2 linked regions of the Oryctolagus cuniculus genome follow. The protein of the gene in region 1 interacts with the protein of each later gene in a pairwise test. Links are inferred from orthologs where the notes say so. Each region holds a gene or a part of one and is shown on either strand. Other genes may lie near its edges.

Region 1 (7,380 bases):
AGTCCAAGTGATCAATTTCAGTTCACAATTGATCACACTGATAGGTCTAAGAGTCAAAGGGATCACACCAACAAGACTAGTATCTGCTAATACTAACTGATAGAAGAAAAAAGGGAGAGAACGATCCAACATGGGAAGCAGGATACACAGCAGACTCAGAGAATGGCAGATGTCTAAATAGCACTCTGGCCTCAGAATCAGCCCTTAAGGCATTCGGATCTGGCTGAAGAGCCCATGAGAGTATTTTAGGCATGGCAAGTCAAGACACTATGGCAAAAACAAACAAACAAACAAACAAAAAAAACCCACAAACCTAAATGAAAGATCTCTGTGAGATCCCAGTGGATAGAACGGGGCCATCAAAAAAGGAGGAACCTTTCTCTGAAGGGAGGAGAGAACTTCCACTTTGACTATGACCCTGTCGAAATAAGATCGAAGTCGAAGTCGCCGAACTCAAAAGGCTTCCATAGCCTTGGAAAATCATGACTAGAGCCTAGGGAGATTACTGATGCCATAAACAAGAGTGTCAAATTGTTAAGTCAACAACAGGAGTCACTTTCTGTGTGGGAGCAAACTGTTGAAATCTTTACTTAATGTATACTAAACTGATCTTCTGTATATTAAGAGAATCGAAAATGAATCTTGATGTGAATGGAAGGGGAGAGGGAGTGGGAAAGGGGAGGGTTGCGGGTGGGAGGGACGGTATGGGGGGGAAGCCATTGTAATCCATAAGCCGTACTTTGGAAATTTATATTCATTAAATAAAAGTTAAAAAAAAAAAAAAAAACAGGAGTCACTGTGTACTTACTCCTCATGTGGGATCTGTCCTTAATGTGTTGTCCAATGTGAAGTAATGCTATAACTAGTACTGAAACAGTATTTTACACTTTGTGTTTCTGTGTGGGTGCAAACTGATGAAATCTTTACTTAATATATACTAAATCGATCTTCTGTATATAAAGATAATTGAAAATGAATCTTGATGTGAATGGAATGGGAGAGGGAGCGGGAGATGGGAGGGGTGTGAGTGGGAGGGAAGTTATGGGGTGGGGAAGCCAGTGTAATCCATAAACTGTACTTTGGAAATTTATATTTACTAAATAAAAGTTAAAAAAAAAATTCTGTCATTTGCAACATGGATAAGTCTAGAGGCTATCACGCTAAGTGAAATAAGCCAGGCACAGAAAGACAAATACTACGTGAGCTCCCTTGTATCTGAAATCTAAAGATGGTTCGCTCACAGGCGTAGAGAGTAGAATGGTGGTTAGGAGAAGCTCAGGGGGTGCGGTGGGTGGGGTAAGGAGAGGCCTCAGCGAGAGGGCACAAGGTTTTCATTAGAAAGGAGCAGTAACTTCTGGTGATCTCTTGCACAGCATGGTGAGTGGAGTTAACACATGCATTTCAAAGTCGCTCCAAGAGCACACTCTGAATGTCCTTACCACAAAGGAATGGTAAGTATGGGAGGAGGTGCACACCTTGACTCCACTGGTTTGATCACTGCACTAGGCAGTACACTAGGTGTACGGAGACATCACACTGTGCCCCATAAACATATGTCCTCATGGCCGGCCCCTTCTGAATTGGAGGTTCCACATCTGTGGACTCAGTGAACCTCGGGTTACAAATATCTGGAGAAATAAAAATTCTGTGTGTTCTGAACACCCTATAACTGAATCTTTCTTGTCAGTATTGGAGGATTTCCAAAGCTCATGGAAAAAGGAATTAGAAGATGTGCTTAATTTGGTGCAAAAAATTCTGATGTCCTTGCAGTTTTTTTTTTATAATACCCATTCTCCACGAACTTTCTGAAGACCCTGTGTACTTAAGAATTAAAAAAAAAGCCAAATAAACGTGCCTTTTACTTACATTTCCTATAAACTTTGAAGTGTCCAGCTAAACTGATAGAATCATTTAAGCAATATAACTATTCAGATACTATTTACATTCCATTAGGTATTACAAGTAATTTAGAGATCATTTAAAGAGGATATGTATAAGTTACATGCAAATACTATACTACTTTATATAAGGGACTTACGTAGCTCTGATTTTAGTATCCATGGGGGTGTGGGGAGTGGTCCTGGAAATAATGTCCCTTGGATGCCAATTTTTTTCTATCAACTGAAAAAACTAGCCTAAGTGTTAAGGTGCTGGCTGGTATGCCTGCTTCCCACATCAGAATATCTGAGTTCGATTCCAGATTCTGGGTTCTGACTTCAGCTTCCTGAATGTGTACAGTGGGAAGCACCAGGTGTGATCAAAGTAACTGGGTTCCTGCCACCCATGCAGGAGACTGGATTGAGTTCTGTGCTTCATTATTTAGAGAGCTGCATTAGTGAACTAGTGGATGAAAGTTACCTGTTCCTCTCTTTGCCTCTCAAATAAATAAAAAATATTTTTAAAAAATTCCTCTACTTTCAGTTTTTATGACATACAGGTCACTTAATTTGTGGGGGTCAGTTTTGCCCCCTGAGTAGTGGAATTAAAGTCTCCCTATGCACCTCTTATGCTGCATATAAAGATTAAAGAAAAAGGATGTGCCTAAATGATCTGGTTAGTACATATGACTCATACACTATACTTCATTCTCCAAAAACGCCTACTTCCATTTTAATTTCCAGCTAAAAGAGGACTATGCATCTCTGTGTTAAGCATTTTTTTTCCAAAGAAAATTTACATTACAGCTGGCATAATAAACAGTGAAGAATGTTTATACTGGAAGGAATGAGGAGAAATTAACACTGCTGTTGGAGAAAATAGTAATTGTACTCCTACCCAAAAGGAATTCTTTAAATGACACAATGAAAACAACTTATCTGGAAATAAACCTAAAAAAGATGTCCAAGAACTGAATGAGAAAAACTTTAAGGTTACTGAACAATGTTATGCTCCAGGGCATAACCATGTCAATCCTCCCCAAAGGGAATCAATGAAAGCCCAACAAATTCCCAGAGGGTTTTTCACGGCATTTGACAAGGTAATCCTGAAGTATATAATCTAAAATCACAAAAAGCATTATGTTGAATGACTATAGCAATTGTACAAGGAAATTCTAAATTTCCTCATGTAATAATTTAAAGTACACAAAATAACAGAAGAGATCATCATGGATTCATACATACACAACATTATAAAAACATGAATGAAAATGACAAACATCAAACTCGAAAGAGTGGTTACTGAAGGAAATAGGGTCAGAGGGACACTAACAGGTGGCTCAGTTTATGTGTCATCTTTTATTTATTCCTTCAACTGCGTGGGGGATAAAAAGATGCTTGTTATATTATTCCTTAGTCTTTAAAGTTATTTTGTTTGACTTACATATAATTCAGAAAAATACAGACTGCCCTTTCTGTGAAAGCCACAGTAGTATTACATGATCTAGGTCAACCTATTGCCTCCATCAGCCACACCCGAAGTACTTGTTAAAAACAGGGTACCATGATATCCCCAGATCAGGATTTCTGCGGAGGAACTCATGCGATTCTAACACACAGCCACATTAAGGAACCCTTGTAACCCCAAACTGGTCTCAAGCTGACAATGACATTAAACAACCGAATACCTAATCACTTTCCAATGGATCCAACCATCCAGAATGAGGAGGGAAAAACCAGACAAATTCTAAAACAGTCATCCCTTGGTATCTGGAAGACTGGCTGCAGAGACCCTGCCAATACCAAATCTGCAGATGCTTAAGTCCCTTCTATAAAGTGTCACAGTTTCTGCAAATAACCTAAGCACATCCTATTAAATAACCTAACTCATCCTATTATTACTCAGAATACCTAACAAGATGTAAATGCTATGCAAATAGTTGCTATTGCTTAGGGAATATCAAGAAAAAAAAAGTTTGTGATTGTCCAAGACAGATGCAATTTTTTCTAATATTTTCTTTTTTTTTTATTTGACAGGTATAGACAGAGAGAGAGACAAAGAGATAGAAAGGTCTTCCTTCCGTTGGTTCACCCCCCAAATGGCCGCTACAGCCGGCACTGCGCTGATCTGAAGCCAGGAGCCAGGTGCTTCTTCCTGGTCTCCCATGCAGGTGCAGGGGCCCAAGCACTTGGGCCATCCTTCACTGCCCTCCCGGGCCACAGCAGAGAGCTGGACTGGAAGAAAAGCAACCAGGACTAGAACCTGGAGCCCATATGGGATGCCAGTGCAATAGGCAGAGGATTAACCAAGTGAGCCACAGCACCGGCCCTCTAATATTTTCAATCTTTAGTTGGTTGAATTCATGGCTGCAGGGCCTACAGCTAGGGAGAGTCAACTGTATACCTTTAATATACGTGCAAAAAGGCCACACTTGTAACAACTAGGAATATCTTACAAAGCAGTAGTATCAAGTGATTCCATAGAAGAACATAATCTCTTCATACCCTCCACAGGGAATACAGAAATTCCACAGCAAAATCCGAGCACACATGATTAAGAAATATCAATCCTTTTTTAAAAAAGATCTTAATTTATTTTCATCTACTTGAAAGGCAGAACACAGGGTGAGGGAGACAGATCTTCCATCTACTGGTTCACTTCCCAAATGCCCACAATAGTCAAGACTGGCCAGACCAAACCCAGGAGGCTGAACTCCCATCTGGGTCTCCCATGTGGGTGGCACGTGAGCCATCATCTGCTGCCTTCCAGGATGCATTAGTAGATGCCTTCGCAGGAAGCTGGGTTGCAAGCAGAGGTGCCAGAACTTGAACCAGCATTCTAATATGTGACACAGATGCCCTAAGCAGTGGCTCAACACTCTGTGCCACAACACTGACCCCTAGAAAGTACTCTTCTTAAGTACAAGTGGCACAAGTCACTGGCAGCTGCCTCCATGATGACTTCCCTCCAGCACGCAGAGGGAAATGACACTGGGCTTCTTTTTCTTCCCTTATAATACATTTCACAGCTAAATTTGCTTGCAGAAATGTAGGCAATATGAAACAACAACAAAAATAGAAACAAAACAGCTTATTAAAAAAAGAGAGGTGTTACTACAGCAATCATAATTTTCATGGCCTGCTCCTAATAGAATCAAGCTGTTAAAATGTTGGAAACACTCAAGGGTTCTCTCTCTCTCTCCCACCTGCACACCCACACACCTACTCTCTCTCTCTCCAAATATTTCTAAAACTACGACTAAAACCAAGGGGATTCTTTGGATGCTCTCAGTCACACAGACCAGCTGCTCACTCACCAGGGCTCTCCACTCGCTTGTAGTGGTAGGGATTGATGCAGACCTCCTTCTGCTTGGAACCAAAAGGAAACTCACAGCATTCCAGTGGCTTCAGTTCGTGGTGGCTCTGGAGGTCGGGCCAGCGCCACACCCGGCAGTAGATGACATGGGGCAGCCCCTTCCGGTGGGAGACCTGCAGCCGGCCGTCCAGGGAGCGGGGGATGGTGACACAGCTACTCGGCTGTCCCGGGCAGCTCAAGGCCTTCTCCAGCTCCTCCATGGCGCCCTTCTTCTTCTTCAGTTTTTTCACCAGGGCATCCACAGCTTTCTCTGCCCATTTTTCTTCCTCGTCGCCCTGTTTCCACCCGAGAAGTCTCTTCACGGCGGGACTCGTGAAGGAGAACAAACTGGTCACGTTCATAGTGACCACACGGGTCGTCCACTCCTCGGGGCGCGGGGAAGCAGGGAGTCTCCCAACAGAAGGGACAGCAGCAGCGATGTCAGCTTATTTACATAGGCTTCTCTTCAGCGTCGCAGCCTCAAGTCCCGAAAAACAGAAATGACCATTCCTAGTGTTCCGGAAAGCAACCCAAGGCCAGCACCTGGAGAAGAAAGGAGAAAGATCCATTCAAAATCACAACTACCATGGGGCCAGCGCTGTGGCGTAGTAGGCTAAGCCTCCACCTGCGGCACCAGCATCCCATGTGGGCAGCGGTTCGAGTCCCTGCTGCTCCTCTTCCCATCCAGCTCTCTGCTATGCCCTGGGAAAGCAGTGGAACATGGCCCAAGTGCTTGGGCCCCTGCACCCACGTGGGAGACCCGTTAGGCTGCAGATCGGCTGAGCTCTGCGGCTCCAGCCATTTGAGGAGTGAACCAGTGGATGGAAAACCTTTCTCTCTGTTTCTCTCTGTCTAAACTCTACCTCTGAGATAAATACAATCTTAAAAAAAAAAATCACCACTACCACAATTTATTAATCACTCTGTGTAGCGTCCTATCTTAAGTAGTTAGACGTGCAGAGTCCCTGACTTCCAATGGTTCCACCTGCAGGTTTGACTTTGCCACGGGCTTGCTGGAGCATAACCCACTGTGAAGTTGAAGTGCATCCGTATCACAGTATGCTACGGACTGAGCTGCATCCCCCTCTGCCCCATGCATATGTTGAAGCCCCAACCCCAGATGTGGCTGTGTTTGGAGACCGAGGCTCCACGGAAATCACTAAGGTTAACTGAGATCAAAAGGGTGGCGCCCTATGGGACTGGTGGTCCTATAAGACCACCCTCCCACCTCAGCATATCCATGCTCATGCACTGAGCAAAGGCCATGGGGGGACACGGCAGGACGGCGGCCAGGAAGAGCCCTCAGCAGCAACTGCATGTCCAGAACCTTCACCTGGACTTCCAGCCCCCAGAACTGTGAGAACTATGACAGCCACAACAGACCAATCATTGCCATTCTCCTGATTAATAAATGGAGATACCGTTTAAATATATTCACTCTGAGACATGCCAAGGGACATCCTGGTGTGAAAAAGTCCAAGTTCTCAACAGATACCATAATATTTTTTCACAATCACTTATGACCTCTAATAATAAATTTAAAATACATCTCTATCAACAAAACTGAAAATAACAGGTAATAATAAAATTATTAGTCAGAAAGTCTATTTTTTTAAAATACTTATTTGTTTGAAAGTCAGAGTTAGATAGAGAGAGAGAAAATCTTCCATCCGTTAGTTCACTCTCCAGATGACTGCAATGGCCAGGGCTGGACCAGGATGAAGCCAGGAGCCAAGAGCTAGGAGCTTCTTCCAGGTCCTCCACATGGGTTCAGGGGCCCAAGCACTTGGGCCATCTTCTGCTACTTTTCCCAGGCCATTAGCAGGGAGCTGGACTGGAAGTGGAGCAACCGGGACATGCACTGGTACCCATGTGGGATGCCGGTGTCCCAGGTAGTAGCTTTATCTGCTATACTACAATGGTGGCCTCATAACATGTGTTTCATGGTGTGTTACTCAAATATTTCTTATGCTAAATGAAAAGGTAGTTATATTTCTGCTATGTAAATATTGTAACATCTTAGAGTATTTATTCACTAAATAAGCCTATGTCTATGGGCTACAGAGCAAGTTAAACAGTAATTTCCTGATTCTAAAAAACTGCTTTTGGGATAGGTCTGTTGTGTAATGGGTGTCATCTGAGACACTG
Region 2 (8,093 bases), on another chromosome or scaffold:
CGACAAAAGCAGTATTCTTTGCACTCGCCCCTTCCCCCATTCTCGCCCCCCTCCATCACTCTGGACAAAGGACCATACATGTATCATTAGTGAGCAGGAGGTGCTGAGGTGATCAGAGCGCATGCTAGGGTGCGAGCCATGCCCAGTTTGAGCCTTCATCCTGCAAGCCCCGGGCAGTACCGGCCTTGGTGAGCTTCAGCCTGGGACGTGGACAGGTCCTACAGCCAGGAGCTAATTGCATAAAAAGCGAAGTGTCGACTCTACACAGGAAAGAAAGCCCACTTGTGGACGTTCTGCGTACCCTGTGGCCTTCCCCTATTTTTCTCTTACCACTTAAAGAACCTGACCTGAGAAACAGCACGGAGTGTGCACGGAGAAAAAGACATGAATATTTTTCACTGCCAGCTTCAAGGGAAGAAAATTTTTTCTACAATTTGCATGAGGGATTTTTTTTTAAAGAATTGTATGTATTCGTGGATACAAACCAAAATGTACTGCACCAGAGAAAAGGAGTGCGCAGCACGCCCCCTGTCCCGCAGCTACGCCGCGCACCTGTCCGTCCTGAGGCGGCAGCAGCATCCCCCTCTTGGGAGCCGAGGAGGCAGGCTGCAGGAGCTTCTAAATGCCTCATCTTTAAATGTACGTAAGTGGAACATTTAATAAAATGAGGGGAAATGGATTTATAAGCTTTGTTTTTCTAGGTAGCCCTGTTCAAGGTAGGCTTTCACAGACTGGGAGATGTCGAGAGGGGACAGGCGCGGTGGCGCAGGCTGACACTCTGCCCACTCCTGCCAGTGTTTTTGTTTTTGACCCCCAGTACACTATAATATAGTGAACTGGAGCATCCCCGCAGCACGGCCAGCGTTTGTCATCTGAAGACGACCAAGGATCCATCTGGGCTTCTCATCCCCAGCTTTTTGCCTGATGCCATTTTACTGACAGACTGTGGACTTCCAAGTCAACCCTTTGCCTCGGAGAAAGTTCAAGAACTACGGTCACATCTATCTACAGCAACTTAATCCTCCTCTGGTAGTCTCTGCAGCAGCCACAGCCTTAGCAGAGCTGGGTTCCTGGCCTCTGCACACTGATTGACTTTGTTGATGGGCAGTTTTTTTAAAAAAATAACCAACAGTGGATCAGCTGGGTTTTGGCCAGGAAGTTGTCTTTGTGGACTCTGCCTGCATGGCTTAGTAGTAGAAGGAAGGTTTTTTTGTTTTGTTGTTTTTTATAATTCAGTTTAATCAATAAACACATATTTATTGACTACTGTCCTGTGTTCAGACTGGATTTGTGGAGATTTCATGCACTTAAACTTAGAGGTTTCCCATCACAGAGCTGGCTTGCTTTCTGTCAGTTCTCACCTGACTCAATAGCTGTAATGGTTTTTGAGTTTGCTGTACTTTCTCAAGAAGGTTTGGACTAGATACACATCAGAATCACTTAGGGTTCATGTTTAAGACAGGTTTAAAATCATTTCAGGGATGGAACATGGCTAATGGCCAACTGGACTTATAGCTAACTCTGACTTTTTAATGAACACACAACACTAATAAGTTTTCTTAAAGTGCTAGAAATTGAGGTTTGCACAATATGCATGTACACGAAACGTTTACTTAGTATTCCCTGTATGAAAGGTGAGGCTGGATGGGTCAGGTGCAGGTTGAAGTAATTTCACACAGAGCAGCTCGATACTAGACACTACATTCGTATCTGAGACAGCAAACGCTAACCAGAAAATCTGTAGCAGTTTAGAATTTAGTATAGCAGGAGAAAATGTTTAAGAAAAACTTCTAAACACAAAAGCCGGCTACATTACCCCGCAGAGATCATCTTCCACATGCAGCTGCCTCTCTGGTAGGCTCAGGTGTTTTCTGTGTCGACACACATGGCATTCTGTGGCTGCTAACCAGAGCTGCAGAGCTGCGCGGTGAGGGAGGTGGCATGTGGCAGCACTCTGGACAGTTCAGCTCTCGCCATGACCCAGTCAGAACAAAACCACTCAGCGAGCACTTAAAAGTATTTGTTTATTTTACAAAAGAAAAGTCTACCTTTGAACCAGGCCAAGTTCAAAGTTAAATGTGTCTAAATTCAGTTCTGGATACTGCATCTGTATTTCATTCAAAGCCACTATAAGGAAGAAAGCATAATAAAATAATGAACTATAGAGAGAAAAGCTCCACCCTCCAACCAAAATCCCACCACCAAGGGAGTTTTTCTGGTTAAGCCCCTCAGAAGGGCTCAGCTCAGTACAGGCCAAGGGGCCTTGCAACTTTTCTACCATCTAATTTTCACTCACCTGATCATGTGGGCAATATCCCAGTTGGTCTCTGCAGACAGTGGTCCCTCGATTTCAACACCTTTTTCAGTTACCGTGGCAATTTGATACTGAAAAATAAGCACAGCTTACAGTGAAAATGGGGGCCCAGTGTTGTAGCACAGTGGCTTAAATAGGTTAGGCCACTACTTATGTCAGAGTACTGGTTCAAATCCCAGCTGCTCCACTTCCTGCTAGCATGCCTGGGAATGTGGCAGAAGGTGGCCCAATTGTTTGGGCCCCTACTACCCATGTGGGAGACCCACGGGGAGTTGCAGGCTCCTGGCTTCAGTATGGCACAGCCCCAGCCGTCATGGCCATTTGGGGAGTGAACCAGCAGATGGAAGAGAGAGAGTGTGTGTGTGTGTGTGTGTTTCCCTCTTGCCCCCTCCCTCCCTCTCTCTTCAAATACAGCTCTTAAAAATAACCAATAAAAAGCCGGCGCCGCGGCTCACTAGGCTAATCCTCCGCCTAGCGGCGCCGGCACACCGGGTTCTAGTCCCGGTTGGGGCGCCGGATTCTGTCCCGGTTGCCCCTCTTCCAGGCCAGCCCTCTGCTGTGGCCAGGGAGTGCAGTGGAGGATGGCCCAGGTGCTTGGGCCCTGCACCCCATGGGAGACCAGGAAAAGCACCTGGCTCCTGGCTCCTGCCATCGGATCGGCGCGGTGCGCCGGCCGCAGCGCGCTGGCCGCGGCGGCCATTGGAGGGTGAACCAACGGCAAAGGAAGACCTTTCTCTCTGTCTCTCTCTCACTGTCCACTCTGCCTGTCCAAAAAAAAAAAAAAATAACCAATAAAATGAAAATGCCCATCCCTGAAGCCTGGTCAAAGGTCAACTAGAGGGTCTCTTCCCCCAGCTCCCCCAGTCCCTAAATAGCAGTCACAGAAGTGAGGCAATGCGCTCCTCAAAGCGGAGCCCCTGAGGATGCCAGCCACCCAGCGCCCACCGCTTAGACGGCCGGCACTTCTGTCCACAGCCGTCCTCACCCTGTTGTAAGAACGGGCGTCTCGATAGTACAGCACTCGCATGCAGCGCTCCACCAGCTCGCGGGCCTCGGCCTGGCTCAGCACCGGCTGCTTCTCCAGGACTTCTCGCAGCAGAGGCTGGATTGGGGGAAACGCACGAGGGTTGCTATCAGGCACTGAGCACCAGGCTGCTTGTCTCAAACCCACAGTGCAAACAAGTGGATGACGGAGCGCCAAACATTGGACTCCCTCGCCAGCAGGAAGGGCTGAGGAGCTGCAAGATGCACTGGAAGGGAAGTCCTAGGGCGTCCTCCCTCTGCACTTAATCTGCTGACTGCTAGAGGAGCCGCCTTGGTCCCTGGAGTGCAGGTGGCAACACTTCAGCCTCCAGACACAAGCAGCTGCTGCTCATATGGATTCCAGGGGAAGAGGCAGACAGCCCCTCTCCTCCTCCCTCCTCCCCTCCCCCTCCCCACTTCTTTCCCCCTTTCCCACTTCCAGATCCACTACTTACCTGAGCCAAGTATGCACCATAACCAGTGGCCAGCGAAGGGGCTTCATAGGCCACACCAAGCATGTCCACATAACCGAGGAAGCTAACAGGACACAACGATTTAAGTGAGCATTTAATCAAAGCTCTCAGCTAAAGGACAGGGCCACGGGGTCTGGGTGAAAGGTGGGATTCACTCGGGGAGGAGAGACGGAAGGGACGCGAGACAAGCTCTACTAGGTCGGGTGGGCAAGGAAGTGGTACGTGTACGCAACCTCTCTCCATCAGCGTAGCCGCCGATGACCATGGTGTTCCACAGAGGGTTCATCTTGGAGCGGCGGCTGTACATGGCCCTGGTCAGCCACGAGTGAATGGCTCTGGGGCTATAGCTGTGTCCATCTCCCAACAGCTCCTCATCAATGCTTCAAAGAAAGGGGGGAAGAATGGAAGTCCTAACCGCCACCCCTCTCCCCCCATCCACCCAATGGCAAAAACTGCGCCCGACCCTTCCACTCCCAACACCTCTCCCCGGGCCCGACTCCGGCCCGCCCCCCGCCCCCCACTCGGGAGCTACTCCCTACTCTCAACTTACACCATTTGGCCGAGCACTTGCTTCAAGTACTGGAAATCAGCGTAGTCTCCGGAGGCACCCAGCATGGTGCTGTTGTTGACCCGCATGATTCGAGAGATGTTGCGGAAACGCGCCAAGGAGCCGTAGGAGCCCAGCATGTCTGCGGCAATCACCACCCCGCCATCGAACTTGACGCCGAGGACCGAGGTCCCGGTAACCATGGGGTTCCTGCGGAGTGCAGAGTCTGGCGACCGCAGCGCAGAGAAGGAGCCCGCGCCCTAGGTCCTTCCAATTACTCTGCCTCCTCCGGGACTCTACTGCGCGGTCCCCGCCTCGCCTCCCCGGGCTCCGTCGCACCCGGCCAGCGGCACCGGGCCCTCGGTCCCTCCCCTACACAGGCTAAGGCGCCGAGGACTTACTGGGTCCGCGCGATCGGACTCCCGCAGAGCGCGGACGCCGGATCCACGGAGGAAGCAGGAGTGGACGGGATGCGGTAAAACTGTCCAGGAGCTGGGCCCCCGGCCCAAAGCCCGGCCCGCGACTCCAGAAACGCTTCCATCTTAGTCACGGTAGCAGAAGCAGTGAGTGCGCTTGCGCCGACGGAAGCGGAAGTGATCTTTCGGTGCCACACTTTTCTGCTTCCGGCAAGCTACTTCCAGCGGGCATCTTGAGGAGGTCATTTCGTAGGCTTGGGTGGCGACCGAGGCGGAAACTGGGCGTGCCCTGCTCCGCCTCTCGTCGCTTCGCCGGGGAGTCTGGAGTGAAAAGGAGTGCTCTGGCACGCGATTCTACGGGAGGGAGCGCGGAGCCAGGCTGTGGGGCTTCGTCAGGACACTTGACGCTGAAGCAGTGAGCAAGTCTCATACACCTTTTGGCTTATTACCAAAAAAGGCACGTGAAAGTAGCACGGAACCCAGGATCTCTTTTTTAAAATGTTTGTTCATACGAAAGACAGAGTGACGCTTTCACTTTCCAGATGCCTGCAACAGCCAGAGCTGATGAAGGCAGGAGCCTGGAGCTCCACCCGGTCCCCCACGCGGGTGGCAGGGGCTCAGACACGTGAGCCAACCCCGCTACCTTCCAGGGTGTGCATTTCCAGGCACCTGGGTCGAGGAGGAATAGCCCGGACAGGAACCGGCACCCTCATAGTTACGGGACGCAGACATCCCAAGCCACGGCTTGCCCACTGCACCCCAGAACCCAGGGTCTGTACCTTCCAAGTAGCCCCATGGGACAGGTATTATTCCACTCATTTCATAGATAAGGAACTGAGGCTTTTGGCTTAGTGATTCCCTGGGTCATGCAGGCAGGAATTGTACAACTGAACCTTAGGATAAAGAAAGGGATCCGCAAAGTTGTGTGTACCCTGTGAGTTAAGATGTCTCAAGCAGGGCCGGCGCCGCGGCTCACTAGGCTAATCCTCCGCCTAGCGGCGCCGGCACACCGGGTTCTAGTCCCGGTTGGGGCGCCGGATTCTGTCCCGGTTGCCCCTCTTCCAGGCCAGCTCTCTGCTGTGGCCAGGGAGTGTAGTGGAGGATGGCCCAGGTGCTTGGGCCCTGCACCCCATGGGAGACCAGGAAAAGCACCTGGCTCCTGGCTCCTGCCATCGGATCAGCGCGGTGCGCCGGCCGCAGCGCGCCGGCCGCGGCGGCCATTGGAGGGTGAACCAACGGCAAAAGGAAGACCTTTCTCTCTGTCTCTCTCTCTCACTGTCCACTCTGCCTGTCAAAAAAATAAAAAATAAATAAAAAAAAATTATAAAAAAAAAAAAAGATGTCTCAAGCAGGGGTCAGCACTGTGGTATAGCGGGTAAAGCTGCCCCTGCAGTGGCAGCATCCCATGTGGACAGAGTTGGAATCCCAGCTGCTCCACTTCTGATCCAGCTCCCTGCTAATGTGCCTGGGAAAGCAGCAGAAGATGGTCCAAGTTCTTGGGCCCCTGCACCCACATGGGAGACCTGGATGAAGCTCCTGGCTCCTGGCTTCACTTCAGCCAGTCCTGGTCCAGTCCTGGCTGTTGGGGCCATTTGGGGAGTGAACCAGTAATGGAAGATTCTCTCTCTCTCTCTCTCTCTCTCTCTCTCTCTCTCTCTCTCTTTCTCTTTCTCTTTCTCTTTCTCTCTCCCTATTCTCTAACTTTGCCTTTCAAATAAATAAAAAAAAATCTTAAAAAAAAAAAAATCTCCAGGAGATCACTCACTCCTGTGGGACCTTAGACAAGACTCTGAACGTTCTTATTTTCAAGTTCCCTCCCCAACCCTTCAAGCAGCAGAAAAATCCCAGTGAGACTAGGAGTGAAAGTGATTCCAAGGGTTCCCTTTTCAATGTGACTCTCAAGCAGGCCTGATGAGCCTTATCAAAGATAAAGCCAGGGGCCAGCGCTGTGGCATAGTGGGTAAAGCTGCCACCTTCAGTGCCGGCATCCTATATGGGCTCCGGTTCGAGTCCCGGCTGCTCCACTTCTGATCCAGCTTCCTGCTAATGCAGATCCTTGGAGACAGGGGTAATGGCCCAAGTGATTGATTTCTGCCACCCACGTGGAAGACCTGGACGTTTGGGCAGTGCATGGGGGAGCATGCTTACTTCCATTCATGCTCGCTCTCTCTCTCTCACTCTCCCCCGGCCTCTCTCCCTCCACTAAACAAGATAAACAAAGCTGGGCACTAAAGTGATAACCAATATTTTTGTCTTTTAAAAATACTCCATTTTGGCCGGCGCCGCGGCTCACTAGGCTAATCCTCCGCCTAGCGGCGCTGGCACACCGGGTTCTAGTCCCGGTTGGGGCACCGGATTCTGTCCCGGTTGCCCCTCTTCCAGGCCAGCTCTCTGCTGTGGCCCGGGAGTGCAGTGGAGGATGGCCCAGGTGCTTGGGCCCTGCACCCCATGGGAGACCAGGAAAAGCACCTGGCTCCTGGCTCCTGCCATCGGATCAGCGCGGTGCGCCGGCCGCAGCGTGCCGGCCGCGGCGGCCATTGGAGGGTGAACCAACGGCAAAAGGAAGACCTTTCTCTCTGTCTCTCTCTCACTGTCCACTCTGCCTGTCAAAAAAAAAAAATACTCCATTTTATCCCCTAATTGGTGACTGCTTTCTCCCCAAACTTCATATTCCACTTGACTCGGGCAACTCAAGTTCGCCTGGACAAATGTCAGGTGCTCAGTTTGTGCTGACAAGTGGGATTACTGGGATTCCTCAAAACCCCTGGGATACCTGGCTCTTCTGATTTGCCAGAACCACGGTCGTATGAACTTGTTGTTAATCAGCCAGCAGTGAACTAGCTATGTCCTTGTTCAGAAGCCCGCAGTGGTTGGTGAGTCTGTTGTCTCACTCCTGTTTAGGTCCTTACATTAAGACCTGTTCCTTCTATTGTAAGAGCAGGCCTGGCATAGTATAGAAAATCTTTAAAGTGTACCAGTCTTCTGTGGGTGGCTATTTATTACTTTGAGTTTAACCAGCATTGAACTCCCCCAAAGTCCAAGCATTTCAGTCAGTTACGCTGGACTGGTTTTCTGACATGTCAGGATGTCCCTGCAATTCTCAGAAAGAACCAAAACTAAACTAGAATTAATGGCCCCTGTCCTCACCCACTCACATTTTCACTACTCCACTTGGAGGGAGTGGAATTGGAACCTTCAACTCCTAAACAGGCTAAGGATCGTTTCTGGACATGTTCAGTGTCCGGCCCCCCGGCTGTAACAGAAACATGAGAGGCAAAGGATGTCCTGCTTGTTCATGGCTGCAGTCCCCTGTCGGTTCC

Evidence for each region. The genes of interacting proteins can lie anywhere in the genome.
Region 2: the proteins of SMAD1 (region 1) and PSMB4 interact in binary tests that used the Homo sapiens proteins (3 or more experiments, as listed by UniProt). The link is inferred for Oryctolagus cuniculus from reciprocal best matches to the Homo sapiens genes SMAD1 and PSMB4.

What each region holds. Positions count from the first base shown.
Region 1 is NC_091439.1:19,274,486-19,281,865, forward strand, and holds part of SMAD1 (mothers against decapentaplegic homolog 1), read right to left. Parts: intron 5,776-7,380; 5' UTR 5,595-5,775; coding exon 5,195-5,594; intron 1-5,194. UniProt on the Homo sapiens protein: Transcriptional modulator that plays a role in various cellular processes, including embryonic development, cell differentiation, and tissue homeostasis.
Region 2 is NC_091438.1:46,687,047-46,695,139, forward strand, and holds PSMB4 (proteasome subunit beta type-4), read right to left. Parts: upstream 4,899-8,093; coding exon 4,759-4,898; intron 4,568-4,758; coding exon 4,361-4,567; intron 4,191-4,360; coding exon 4,044-4,190; intron 3,875-4,043; coding exon 3,793-3,874; intron 3,417-3,792; coding exon 3,300-3,416; intron 2,386-3,299; coding exon 2,293-2,385; downstream 1-2,292. UniProt on the Homo sapiens protein: Non-catalytic component of the 20S core proteasome complex involved in the proteolytic degradation of most intracellular proteins. This complex plays numerous essential roles within the cell by associating with different regulatory particles.